2 linked regions of the Schizosaccharomyces pombe genome follow. The gene in region 2 interacts genetically with the main gene of each other region. Each region holds a gene or a part of one and is shown on either strand. Other genes may lie near its edges.

Region 1 (6,627 bases), on a different chromosome or scaffold from region 2:
GGAAGGAGCTGAAACTTCAACAACATCATCAAGGCGAAGTGCCTTTGTAGAAACGTGTTTGAACATTGAAAGGTTCGTCCATAAGCTAATTCCCACCTGGTCCACATGCGTTGTTGCCAGATAATCACCAGTTGGTGCAAATGTCAAACTTGTGCATACACTGGGTGTAGAAATTGAATCAATTAAGTGACCAGTGGGTAGATCCCATGTGCGAATTGTTCCATCTAAAGATGCAGTAACAAGCCATCTGCCAGTATCGGAAAAATCAAAGCTGGTGAGACGATTCGAATGACCCCATAATTCACGAACAATCTTCCTTGTTTGTACGTCAACAATGCGAATGCCGAAATCGTCACAAGCGACAGCAACGAGGTCTGATGAATGTTGATAAATCGCATGAGTAATGGAACTTCCAACGTCTAATGAATCTATTAAGTTTCCTTTGTTGAAATCCCAAAATTTTAAAATCCCGTCCAGCGATGCAGTTACAAGAATGCGATTTACATTGTCCAACATAACTGCAGTGACTGGTTTGCCTGATAGAGAGCTTTGTCCAAATGATTTCCTTTTGATACCACTTTGCATGTTATAAACATCTACAACGCCTTTAGAGCTACCAATCAAACCAAAATTACCACAACAACTTACACAAACAGACCGTACTGACGTACCGTCACTAGTTGGTAAAACGTGTTGACCCAATGTTTTAGATTTCCAGTTCCAAGTGCGAGCAGAACTATCATTTTTGTGGGCAGTTAGAACATTATCCCAATATTTTTCACGAGTATTTGAAGAAGATAGGGCAGTTATCTCGGGTAATTTTAATTCTTCCGGGCGAACATTAAGTTTCTTTGCCTTTGAAATAACAGAGCCTTGAGATAGTTCGGTTGATTGTGAGTCTTGGTATAAACTAACTGCTCTTAATGACCGATCAGTTGCAGCCGAAATCAAGAAGTGCACACTTTTCCCATAAAACTTAACAAATGAAGGTGGCTCGTAATGACCATTACGAGAACGTAGGATTCTAGGAGCACCATCCATTGAATCAAAGATCCATTCTTTAAGAGAGTTATCTGGACCAGCAGTTACTAATATGGGCTGCCCGTTAAGAAACTGTATCTTTGGAAGTGACCCAAAATGAGCATTATATGTAACATTTTGAATTCTTCGCTTTGAAAGATCCCAAAAAGAAAGGTCACCAATGGGGTTGGAAGAAGCTAATATTGGTGTCCCATCAGTACGGAATGAACATGAAAGAACTTGGCCATCTTGTTTGAATTCCATGAGTATTGAACCATTTTTAAGATTAAAGATTACAATACGACCACTAATAGTACCAACAGCTAAAACATCGAGGACAGGGGCTTGTGTTAAACTAGTGATTCCATCACCAAAAAATTCCTGAAATTCATGTACACGTTTAGAAACACGCAAATTCCAAATCTGTAATGCTCCATCTGAGAATCCTAGCAGTATTTTGTTCAAATAAGTGCTTGGATGTAGTAAACTAGTGATATCTGCATTGGTATTAGGAAGAAATGTAGTATGAAGCTCAGGAACACTATATTTAGAAGCGTGTTTCCATACATAAACATGACGAGAAGATGTACAAGCAATAATCCACTCACCAAAAGCATCTAAATGAGTGACTGTTCCATGTTCTTGCTCCACATCAATGTCCCATATTATTTTACCACGTTTATATGCAAAAATTTTTGATCCGGCAGCTACAAGCATGAAATCTTTAAAGGATTTTAAACAAGTAATTTCCTTGTCTAATTGCTTGCCAACGAAAAGCAAATTCAACTTTTCGCAGTCATATGTTTGAAATGTGTTTCCCACCGACGTTGTTACCAAAAAATGGGTTCCACGAGCCTCAATGTCGAAAGGTACTGCATTGGAAACGTGACCGATGGATCTAAAGGCTAAAAATACAGTTAGCAATCTGTTCATTCCAAAAGAAAAAGAGAGAATTTTGACTTACGAGCATAGATCCTAGATTTTCTTAGAGGCTTCACCGCATTTTCATAAGTCCTCCGTTTCTTCTCTGCAAATGGCATTTTATCACAGGAAAGAACACAAATAGCACGTAAAATGGCAAAGGATGGCTCTTGTCCTGTAACTTGCAAAAAGCAGTGTTTGTGAAATTCTAGCAACCCTTTACGACCTACAGTAATAATCGTTAATTTACGACAGTGTATTTACTGAAATCGATAAATGTGTTTAACGATATGGTCAATCCGTCATATATCAATTTTCGGTAATTATAAATAAGAATCGTTCTGCTATTGTTCCGTTTATTTAAGTAAACAAATTATTTATTATTAAAAAAAAAAGAGAACTAAACATTGATGTCTAATGTTATTGTAAGATTTAATCGTAAAAACATGTTAGCAAAACTTCTACATTCTCTTCAGAATACCTAAAGAACTCTATTCACATATATCAAAAAGTGGTAAGGTAAATCTATGATTGTTGGAATTCTGGGCTTGTAAATAATGAAATAAATTTCAGTAAATTCTTAAAAAATATTTTTCTTTATGTAAAAGGTGCGAGAACAATATACTCTTGAACCCAGCTAGTAGAAGTAATTTTTTAATGTTTGTTGCTTGTAAAATTTAAACATTCCAGTCCACGTGTTTTCGCACGGACGAAAAGTAAAAACCTATTAAACAAAAATTTTTTCTAATTCTTTTTTAATTTAATATTGATGGATTTTACAAGCTTTTACTAAACTGGAAGAATACGTTTTTGAAAGAAGAATAACAGAAACTGGGCTTGGTTAAAAAAATTTTTATGAAAACCCAAATTAACTAACCCAGTATAATTAGTAAAAAAGTTATTCATAGAAGCATTACTGCGAAACAAATTCAATATTCACTGTCCACTTCATTTAAGCAACAATTTCTTATTTATTTACATTTCGTTAGGTAAACAAATGTTACCTCGCTGAATTGTAAGGTTAACCGTACAAGTAACATTGATCGACTAGGTGTGTACTAACACCGTGTACCTACATCTCTCATAACCAAACAAGTGAGGGAATTGGCCATTGAAAGAATACAAGTGGGAAAAAGGTGTTTTAAGCGTTATTAAATATTTTAACGTAGTTGAATAATAAAGGATGATTCAAAATGCAAGTCATCTTACATCTATCGACACAGAGTCATCTACCAGAACGGCGTCGCCTGTTTCCTCAATCGTTACACCTACTAAACGAAATGTAGTTGGAATCTGTGCCATGGATGCCAAAGCTCGCTCAAAACCATGTCGGAATATTCTGAACAGAATCATCGCAGAAGGTGAGTTTGAAGCCATAGTATTCGGTGACAACATGATTTTGGACGAAGCTGTGGAAAATTGGCCTGCTTGTGATTATTTGATATGTTTCTACTCTAGTGGATTTCCATTGAAGAAAGCTGAAAAGTATGTCGAGTTGCGTAAACCTTTTTGTGTAAACGATGTAGTATTCCAAGAGTTGCTTTGGGATAGACGGCTTGTGTTGAACATCCTTGATGCCATACGTGTTTCCACCCCTCAGCGTTTGATTTGCTCTCGTGATGGAGGTCCTAAAATTAATAAAGTCCTAGAAGAAAAGTTGCGTCGAAAGTTTGGAATAGAAATCACAGAGGTTCCTACCCCAGAAGTAAAAATGTTGGACGAAGATACTCTTTCTGTTGATGGCAAGATAATAAAGAAGCCGTACGTTGAAAAACCAGTCTATGGTGAAGATCACAATATTTATATTTATTTCCCTAAATCCGTTGGTGGGGGAGGTCGCAAATTATTTCGTAAAGTCGCAAATAAGTCTTCAGATTATGATCCAGATCTTTGTGCTCCACGCACTGAAGGATCTTTTATTTACGAGGAATTCATGAATGTCGATAACGCGGAAGACGTAAAGGTTTATACCGTGGGTCCTCATTACAGCCATGCAGAAACCCGCAAATCACCCGTAGTGGACGGAATTGTGAGAAGGAATCCACATGGTAAGGAAATTAGGTTTATCACCAATCTTTCAGAGGAAGAAAAAAATATGGCCTCTAAGATATCAATTGCGTTTGAGCAACCTGTTTGTGGATTTGATCTTCTTCGTGTCTCAGGTCAGTCGTATGTGATTGATGTGAATGGATGGTCCTTCGTCAAGGATAACAACGATTATTATGATAATGCTGCTCGAATTTTGAAACAAATGTTTCATGTTGCCGAACGTCATAGACGGAATCGTGTACCTTCAGTCCAAGAAGTTTTAAATCCTCCGCCTAGAGAAAGTGAGGCATGGAGACTTAAAAGTTTGGTCGGAGTCCTGCGTCACGCGGATCGTACACCTAAACAAAAGTTTAAGTTTTCATTTACATCTGATCCATTTGTAAAATTATTGCAAGGTCATACCGAGGAAGTTATTTTAAGAAACGAACAACTCAATTCTGTTTTGGCAGCTACCAACCTTGCTACAGAACTCAAATGCGAAGATATCAACAAGTTAAAACAGTTACGCTTAGCTTTGGAAACGAAGAAAGACTTACCGGGGACAAAAGTGCAACTTAAACCGGCTTATTCCCCAGAGGGAAAGCTTTTGAAACTGCAGCTAATTATCAAATGGGGTGGTGAATTTACTCATTCCGCGAGATACCAATCTAAGGATTTAGGAGAGCAGTTTCATAAGGACCTGTATATTATGAATCGTGATTGCCTGAAAGATGTCGAAATATACACATCTTCTGAAAGACGTGTCTCTGCTTCTGCTGAAATTTTTGCAATGGCCTTTTTGGAGCAAGAAACTATTCCTAGCGACTTACTCAAAGTTCGCAAAGATCTGTTAGATGATTCTAATGCTGCCAAGGATACTATGGATAAGGTTAAGAAACACTTGAAATCATTATTAAGAGTTGGAGATACGGCTAGAAAGGAGTTTACTTGGCCAGAAAACATGCCCAAGCCTTGTGAAGTAATGCAACAAGTTGTTCAACTCATGAAATATCATCGCGCAGTAATGAGAGAGAATTTTATTATTTTGGGACCTGAGGTTGAGCAAGTTCAATCGCGTTGGTGTTGTAATGAAAATCCTGCGCTCTTTAGGGAAAGGTGGGAGAAGTTGTTTAGCGAATTTTGTGACTCTGAGAAAGCAGACCCATCCAAGGTTTCTGAACTATACGATACATTGAAGTATGATGCTCTTCACAATCGGCAATTTTTGGAACGCATATTTACTCCCTATCAGTATCTCAAATTGCCTCAGAGTCCAAGCTTGATTGCCAAAGAGCCTCCCCAAAGAACCGATAGCAATGGCAATCTTGTTGGGATGACCGGTGCAAATACTAATCACACTGAAAGGCCGTTGGAAAAGTTGTATGAGCTATACGATTTAGCAAAAGTATTATTTGATTTTGTTTCTCCTCAAGAATATGGTATAGAACCGAAAGAAAAGTTAGAAATTGGTTTATTAACAAGTGTACCGTTGCTTCGTCAAATCATACATGACATTAAAGAGGCACGAGATTCTGATCATGCTTCAACAAGAATGTACTTTACTAAAGAGTCTCATATCTATACCTTGCTTAATTGTATACTTGAATCAGGACTACCTATGAAATTACCTAGAAATCAAATTCCCGAATTAGATTATCTCACTCAAATATGCTTTGAGTTATTCGAGAGGACTAATCCTTCAGGAAATAAGGAATTTTCTGTTCGTATCACACTCTCACCAGGTTGTTATGCCCAATGTCCATTGGATATGAATCTTGATGCTAAACACTGTATTAGCGTTTCACCTCGCAGGTCGCTTACAAGACATTTAGACCTTCAGCAGTTTATAACGAAAACCGAGGACCTCTGCAACTCAGTTCATCTTCCCAAAAGGTTTATTCCTGTTAACATTAATTAACCGCTTTTACCCTTTTTACGAATGTTTTGATAACATAAACATTTTTTAAACGATATTTTATTAGTAATTGCACATAATTAAACCAAATTATTTATTAAACCTTGGTTAATAATTTTGTCTGAATAATTTGTTGTTCGGGTTGCAGTCACGGTGCCGCGGCAATTCCGAACGTTGATCGCAGTCCATGATTGCAATCGAAAACATCGTTAACCAACATCACCAATTTTTGTGAGTTCCATTTAACGTTGGATATCAAGCAAGATGTCGCTTACTCCGGATGAAAAATATGAGTTGATTACTCGTAATCTTCAAGAGGTGCTTGGCGCCAAAATGATTCGCGAAATTTTGAATGAACGCGATATCAGCTTGTACTGGGGCAGTGCACCTACTGGCCGTCCTCATTGTGGTTATTTTGTGCCAATGATGAAGTTGGCTGATTTTTTAAAGGCCGGTGTACATGTTACTGTTCTTTTAGCCGATGTCCATGCTTTTTTGGATAACATGAAGGCGCCGATGGAACTCGTTCAACACCGTGTTCGTTATTATGAAATTATTGTCAAATCTATTCTAAAATCGTTGAATATTCCCATTGAGAAGCTTCGTTTTGTCATTGGCTCCAGCTATCAGCTGAAGGAGGATTATACCCTTGATAACTTTCGACTTGCTGCATCTACGACAGAGCACACTGCTCGTCGTGCCGGTGCAGAAGTTGTCAAGCAGGTCGCTAGTCCTCTATTGTC
Region 2 (6,403 bases):
AACAAGGAAAAGTGGAAAAGTATAAGATACTTGGAAAAATTTAATCAAAATCTCAAAACTCATAATTTCAGTGAAAAGAATATAGTCGGATGTATATATCCTTCCAAAATATCGCATTTGTAAGCTTTGGAACGAGATTTAAAAGAAACAACGTAGATTGCTAAAGGGGAATATGTGAAGATCATATGTAAGCTATAAAAGTAATTTGCACAACAAAAGGCAATCTCCAAACAATCCGAGATATTTGGGTGAAGTAAAGTTTCACTGAAGAAGGTGGTAAGAAATCGTCATTACCATATTCAATTGTAGTCCAGACACCGATATGTGAAAGAAATTGGTAAGAAAAAGGAAAATGTTTGCTTTGTAACAAAACATCACTATAAATTTCTTTATAGTACTGAATACCGAGAATTTTGAATAACCAAGTAGATTTGAAATTTACGATTTTAAAAAATAAGGCTGGCATAAATAATGACTACTTCCAGCTTTTTGCAACGTCAAAAGCCCAAACAAATTCATGATGGACCACTTTATCATCATCAACAAACTTTCCATTGGCTTCATAATGTCCGCGAGCCAGCATACCTGTAGGTGCCTCATCTGGTTCAGAGGTAAAATCATAAGGTGTTTCAGAAGGTCCATAGGAGCCAATCATGGTAGATGTTTTGTCAACAACAAAGCCACGTCTGCGAACAGTTTGGACATATCTTAAGCCTGAAATTACTTCGTGTTGTACACGAAATTTAACACCAATCTTAAACTCGCTTCCTTCCTTAATAGTGAACCCTTTCTTGCGGATTTGTTCGACACTTGCTGCATCTTCCATGTTAACATCAACTGGGTCACGGCCGTCAACAAGTAAACTCAGCTTTAAAATAACAACTGTTCTACGATCATTCGAGGGTGAATAACCTGTTCCCGTGATACCCAGAGATGCTTTCCATTTCTGCAATGATTCATCTTCGGCATCCATCTTCATATATTCATTAAGTGATTTCTTTTCTCCCAGAGAAACCGGAGGTCCATGCTCAAATGTATCATCCTCTAGTTCAGGGTTATGTTGATCAGCGGATACTTCATTGTTAACACTCATTTTAAAACAACGCAATAGAATTTAATTATCTGCCAGTAGCTAAACCAAGGACAATTTGTTTTTATAAAAAAAGTTCAGATTCGTTGTTTTGTTAATGTACTGTTCTAGAGTTGAAATTGGCAAAGGGAACATAGCATATTGCTATCTCAACAATATAACCAGATGTACTACTATGTTAACATTTCGGTGACTTGGATTATTTTAAATATAACGGAGATGCAGAAAAGCGTGAGAAAAGTATAAGATTTTTTTTTTCTTTCTATTCCCTTCGATTTTTTTTTTAGTGTCATTATCCATGCTTTTATACATGTAAATATGTTGGAGTAATCCCAAGCATTGACGTCTTATGAGACGTAAAAAAGAAGGAACTTTCTATGCTAGCTTTTCTGTAGGCAGATGTTCTTTACATGAAATTGTTTGAGCAGCAAGTTATAGCTGTAGTCGATAACTATTATACAACCAGATTTGATACGTTTAGCGGAAAAATTATCAATCACTTCAGGAATTATTATTAAAAAACTTACGAAGGAAGTCCACTGAAAATAAAAATCATGTGAAAGATACGCTTAACTATACCAAACCCTAATTAATTACAAAAACGGCGGTTGGTGTTAAAGTGAAAATTAGTAAGCCAATCTGTGTGCTATTATTTTTAATACCAAGACATTCCTGGCACGGAGTTCTGCTCCCATTGTAATTTTCCTCGTAGACCACACTCTTGAAAGACAATTACTAGATTACCTTGATTAAGGTACTGTTTGTTTAATATCAACTTCTTTTTTGTTTTTAAAGATCATTTTGAAAGGGGTTTAATAGATTAGCATTTCGTTATACGATAAGGTTTTAGTCAACTACCCGATTTCTACTACCAGGAACCAGTTTCCTTGAGCTTTTACCATTTGCTAGTATAGGGTGTTTTATATATTATTCTATTTATGTTGAATTGAACCATAAGTGTCTCCTTCGCATAAATACACTAGCCTTTTTTATTCCTGTTTTATTTTAGAACACTATCCATTTGAGAGGAAAATTTGGGCAAGGTAATGGCAATGTCGTCTATCACCTCTGCTAAACAATTAAATGCCGAAGAGCTTTTAGATGAATGCGATTCTTTTAATGGGGAATTTGTTCCTGGAACAATTCCCTTCCGTGCAAATGGCGCTGCCATTGGATATGTTACCCCTTTGGTACTAGAAATCCTCATAAAGGCGGATAATTTCAAATTCAATTGGGTTTATGTTCCAGGAGAGTATATTGAAATAAACGCATCTACTTTTGAAAAAAGAACTGACATCTTAGCTAAGGTACTGGAGCATTGGCGCCATAACAATACATTTGGAATTGCTGATCAATGGAGGAATGAATTATATACTGTTTATGGAAAATCTAAAAAGCCTGTATTGGCCGTTGAACGGGGCGGATTTTGGTTATTCGGTTTTTTGAGCACTGGTGTGCATTGTACCATGTATATTCCAGCAACTAAAGAACATCCTCTTCGTATTTGGGTACCACGAAGATCACCGACTAAACAAACGTGGCCCAATTATTTAGATAATAGCGTTGCCGGCGGAATTGCTCATGGTGATTCAGTCATAGGCACTATGATAAAGGAATTTTCTGAAGAAGCTAATTTGGACGTTTCTTCTATGAATCTTATTCCTTGTGGCACTGTCTCCTACATCAAAATGGAGAAAAGGCATTGGATTCAGCCCGAGTTACAATATGTATTCGATTTACCTGTTGATGATCTTGTTATCCCAAGAATTAATGATGGAGAAGTCGCTGGTTTCAGTTTATTACCATTGAATCAAGTACTTCATGAACTTGAATTAAAAAGTTTTAAGCCAAATTGTGCTCTGGTTCTTTTAGACTTTTTAATCCGTCATGGTATCATTACTCCACAGCATCCTCAGTATCTCCAAACTTTAGAACGGATACATAGACCGTTGCCTGTTCCTGTTGGAAAATATGAAAGAGGGGATTCTTTTGAAGATACTTCAAAGAAAGCTGAAACGTGTGTTCCTGCAAAACCCCAAAAAGCCACTCATCAGCTAGCTCCATGTAAGGCTTGGTTACGTGACTATGATACTGATCAAAAGTTTGCGGTATTACTATTAAATCAACCCATAGATATACCGGATGATAGATTTCGTACTTTATGGAAAAGAGCTAGTATCCGAGTCTGCGCAGACGGTGGTGCTAACCAATTGAGAAATTACGATTCTTCGCTCAAACCGGATTATGTCGTTGGTGACTTTGATTCGTTAACAGATGAAACTAAAGCTTATTATAAAGAAATGGGAGTCAACATTGTATTCGACCCATGCCAAAACACCACTGACTTTATGAAATGCCATAAAATAATTAAAGAACATGGGATTGATACTATTTTTGTATTATGTGGCATGGGTGGAAGAGTTGATCATGCCATTGGTAATTTAAACCATCTATTCTGGGCCGCCTCGATTTCTGAAAAGAATGAAGTATTTCTATTAACTGAATTGAATGTATCAACTTTGCTTCAACCCGGAATAAATCATGTTGATTGTCACGACAACATTGGTTTACATTGCGGTCTTCTGCCAGTAGGACAGAGTGTGTATGTTAAAAAAACCAGCGGCCTTGAGTGGAATATTGAGGATCGCATTTGTCAATTTGGAGGACTCGTCAGCTCTTGCAATGTAGTGACAAAAGCAACGGTGACTATAGAGGTCAACAATTTTATAGTATGGACAATGGAAACACGTCTATAAGACCTGTAAGTAAGAAACTCAGAAAGAATATTCATTATTCCCAACAGCTCAAAAAAATTAAGATATTTATTTAGATATAAAAAATATAAAACATCTATAGAGTATAAGCGGTAATGGTCATAAAGCAAAAAGATAATTGATTAGAGTAATGAAATAAAATAGAATTTTAGTAAAGCCAACTAACATTTTGAACTGCAAGATACATCTCAGAAAGTGAAGAAATAGAAAAAAATCATAATTTTTCATATTGTTGAGCTTGACATGTCATTTTTATCCTCCTCGATACACCCGACAGTTCAGAATCCAAGCTGGACAATTAAAGGTATTTGAATGTATAACCCTAAAACCCATCACAAATACCATAGCTACTACGCTAATGTTGATATACAAAAATTATACATAGTTAAGAGATCGTATACATATTTATACTCATTAACTACTCTGAGGATGACTGCTAAAGTGACTGTCTTTTAGAACACCTACCCTGAAGAAAACGAATGTATCCAGAATAAATCATATGTAGGAGGACATCGGGAAAAGAGGGGGGTAGGAACAAGAACCGAATCAAATAATATAGTTAGAAATAAAAAAAAGTCTACACTTCATCAACGTTATCATCCCAATCATTATCACGCATGCTTCTGGGAGCGTAGTCTTGCAATCCTGCTACGTAGTTTGCACCACAGTAGGCGATACCTGCAAGAAGAACTAAAAAGCCTAGGAAAGAAGTAAACCCGGAGTAAGAAAAGAGTAAAGTACCCATGAAAGCGTAGAAGAAGCCCCTTCCTAAGAATGAGAACATGAACGATCCATATTTAATAGCAATAGGAGGAATTTCCTTTTCTAAACCAATAGTTCCCAAACCGAAAACGATGATGAACAATGCAAGTAAAGCGTTTACGAAGCTAAATGAAAATAACTTGATAAATCCGCTTAAAACGAAGATACCACCTACGCCCAAATTAATGGCACTAAACATTTTTGTTTTATCCATTGTGAATTAAGTGTATGCAACCAATATTAAATTTTTCAAGCAATATGTATTTTAGTCGATGTTTGCTTAAAGACAAAGAGAAATGCAAGTTACTAAGCCTGCCTATGCTTACCGATGCGGTCATGCATATTTACGAACTATTGAAATACGGTAAATAAAAATAACGAATTCCATAATTCTCAACCAACTTTTTGTTGTTTACAGAAAATGAATAATTCAATTCATCGAAAATGCATTTTGTTTTCTATAGCATTCTTTGTACTGTTTTTGAAGTTAAAAACACTATCATTTAGTAAATAATGTACTTTCGACCCGGCTTTTTTTTGAGACAACTGTTGTTGACAATTTTAAGGTCTGTGGGTCAATTTATATATTTGTCAAACGTTCGTAAACAAATGTATTTGTATCTTAGTTTCATACGAGCTCCTTTAGCTATATGTGATCTACTCTCACTCGGGATCTACAGGGCTGTAAAATTTTTTGCACTCAAGTTTCACGCGATTATTATCAGATGCACCTGAATAAAAAAGAATAAAGTAAAATAAAAAGCCGAATGTTTTATAACGTAGTAAAATTCCTTCTTATTTTGATCGCTTTGCCATTCATTTGATTATGTTTATAATGATAATTTCACGTGCAATGTCAACTTTGATAGACGGCTACATCTATTTCTAATTCGTAACGCTATAAAAAAAAACTCCATTTTAAACTGAGAATAAAGCAAGAAGTCGATTAGCCGAATATAGATATCAGCATGATTCGTTTTAAACGGCCCAAAGCCTTGTATATATTTGAGTAATTTTCTACTGTACTTAATTGTCTGTAATTAAACAACTATTTGTTACTCCTACCTTGTTACACTTGGATTTAATACTCTGGAATTAGTGTACTAACTCCTAAATAAATATTTAAGTAGTATTTTTCTTTAAGATATTTCTTTAATAAACATTCTCTTCTAATGAAAAGAAAAGCGTCATTATTGGTATTTTAGTTTTCAGAGCAAAGAGGTACTTAACATTTATTATGTCGCAATTATTTTATATATATATTATATTAATATTTTGTAATGAGAAACCTAGGCCTAATAGTGTAGTGGTTAACATACCTCTTTCGGGTAATCCCCACTTGTATGCTGAGTTTAGAGGTGATCCCTGGTTCGAATCCTGGTTAGGCCCCTTTTTATACTGGGCTTGCTGTATAAATTTATCTGATTAATTTTGAAACTACGCAAACCAACTTTCAATAATTAAAAAGTTTTCCTTACACCTTGCTTGATTACCTTTTAATAGATGTGAAATAAGAACTACTAAATTTGTGATAAATACCGAAAACAATCAGAAGAGTCGAAAAGAAGCATTCAAAAAATTGTGTAAATAACGAGTAGGTTTCTAATAATACGATAATTTCACAGGATGCCTATAATGGATCTGGCAGCTAATGAGCAAATCATTTTTACTTTTTTTTTTATTTAAAACATACGAAAAGATTCTCTTTTTTTGCTGCAAACAAAATTTACTGTAATTGAACCTAGAATTGGTAGCAAAGGCATTACACCGTATTACT

Evidence for each region.
Region 1: of tnr3 (region 2) and asp1, changing one suppresses a phenotype caused by changing the other (phenotypic suppression), as found in Schizosaccharomyces pombe (one study listed by BioGRID).

The regions. Positions count from the first base shown.
Region 1 is NC_003421.2:570,970-577,596, reverse strand, and holds asp1 (inositol hexakisphosphate kinase/inositol pyrophosphate synthase), read left to right. Parts: upstream 1-3,024; 5' UTR 3,025-3,124; coding exon 3,125-5,887; 3' UTR 5,888-6,127; downstream 6,128-6,627. Other genes in the region: U3 snoRNP-associated protein Utp21, read right to left, coding at 1-1,925, 1,985-2,060; tyrosine--tRNA (Tyr) ligase Yrs1, read left to right, coding at 6,149-6,627.
Region 2 is NC_003424.3:1,314,536-1,320,938, reverse strand, and holds tnr3 (thiamine diphosphokinase Tnr3/ Nudix hydrolase fusion protein), read left to right. Parts: upstream 1-1,960; 5' UTR 1,961-2,136; coding exon 2,137-3,846; 3' UTR 3,847-3,958; downstream 3,959-6,403. Other genes in the region: Rho GDP dissociation inhibitor Rdi1, read right to left, coding at 476-1,093; tvp15 (COPI-coated vesicle-associated protein), read right to left, coding at 4,442-4,840.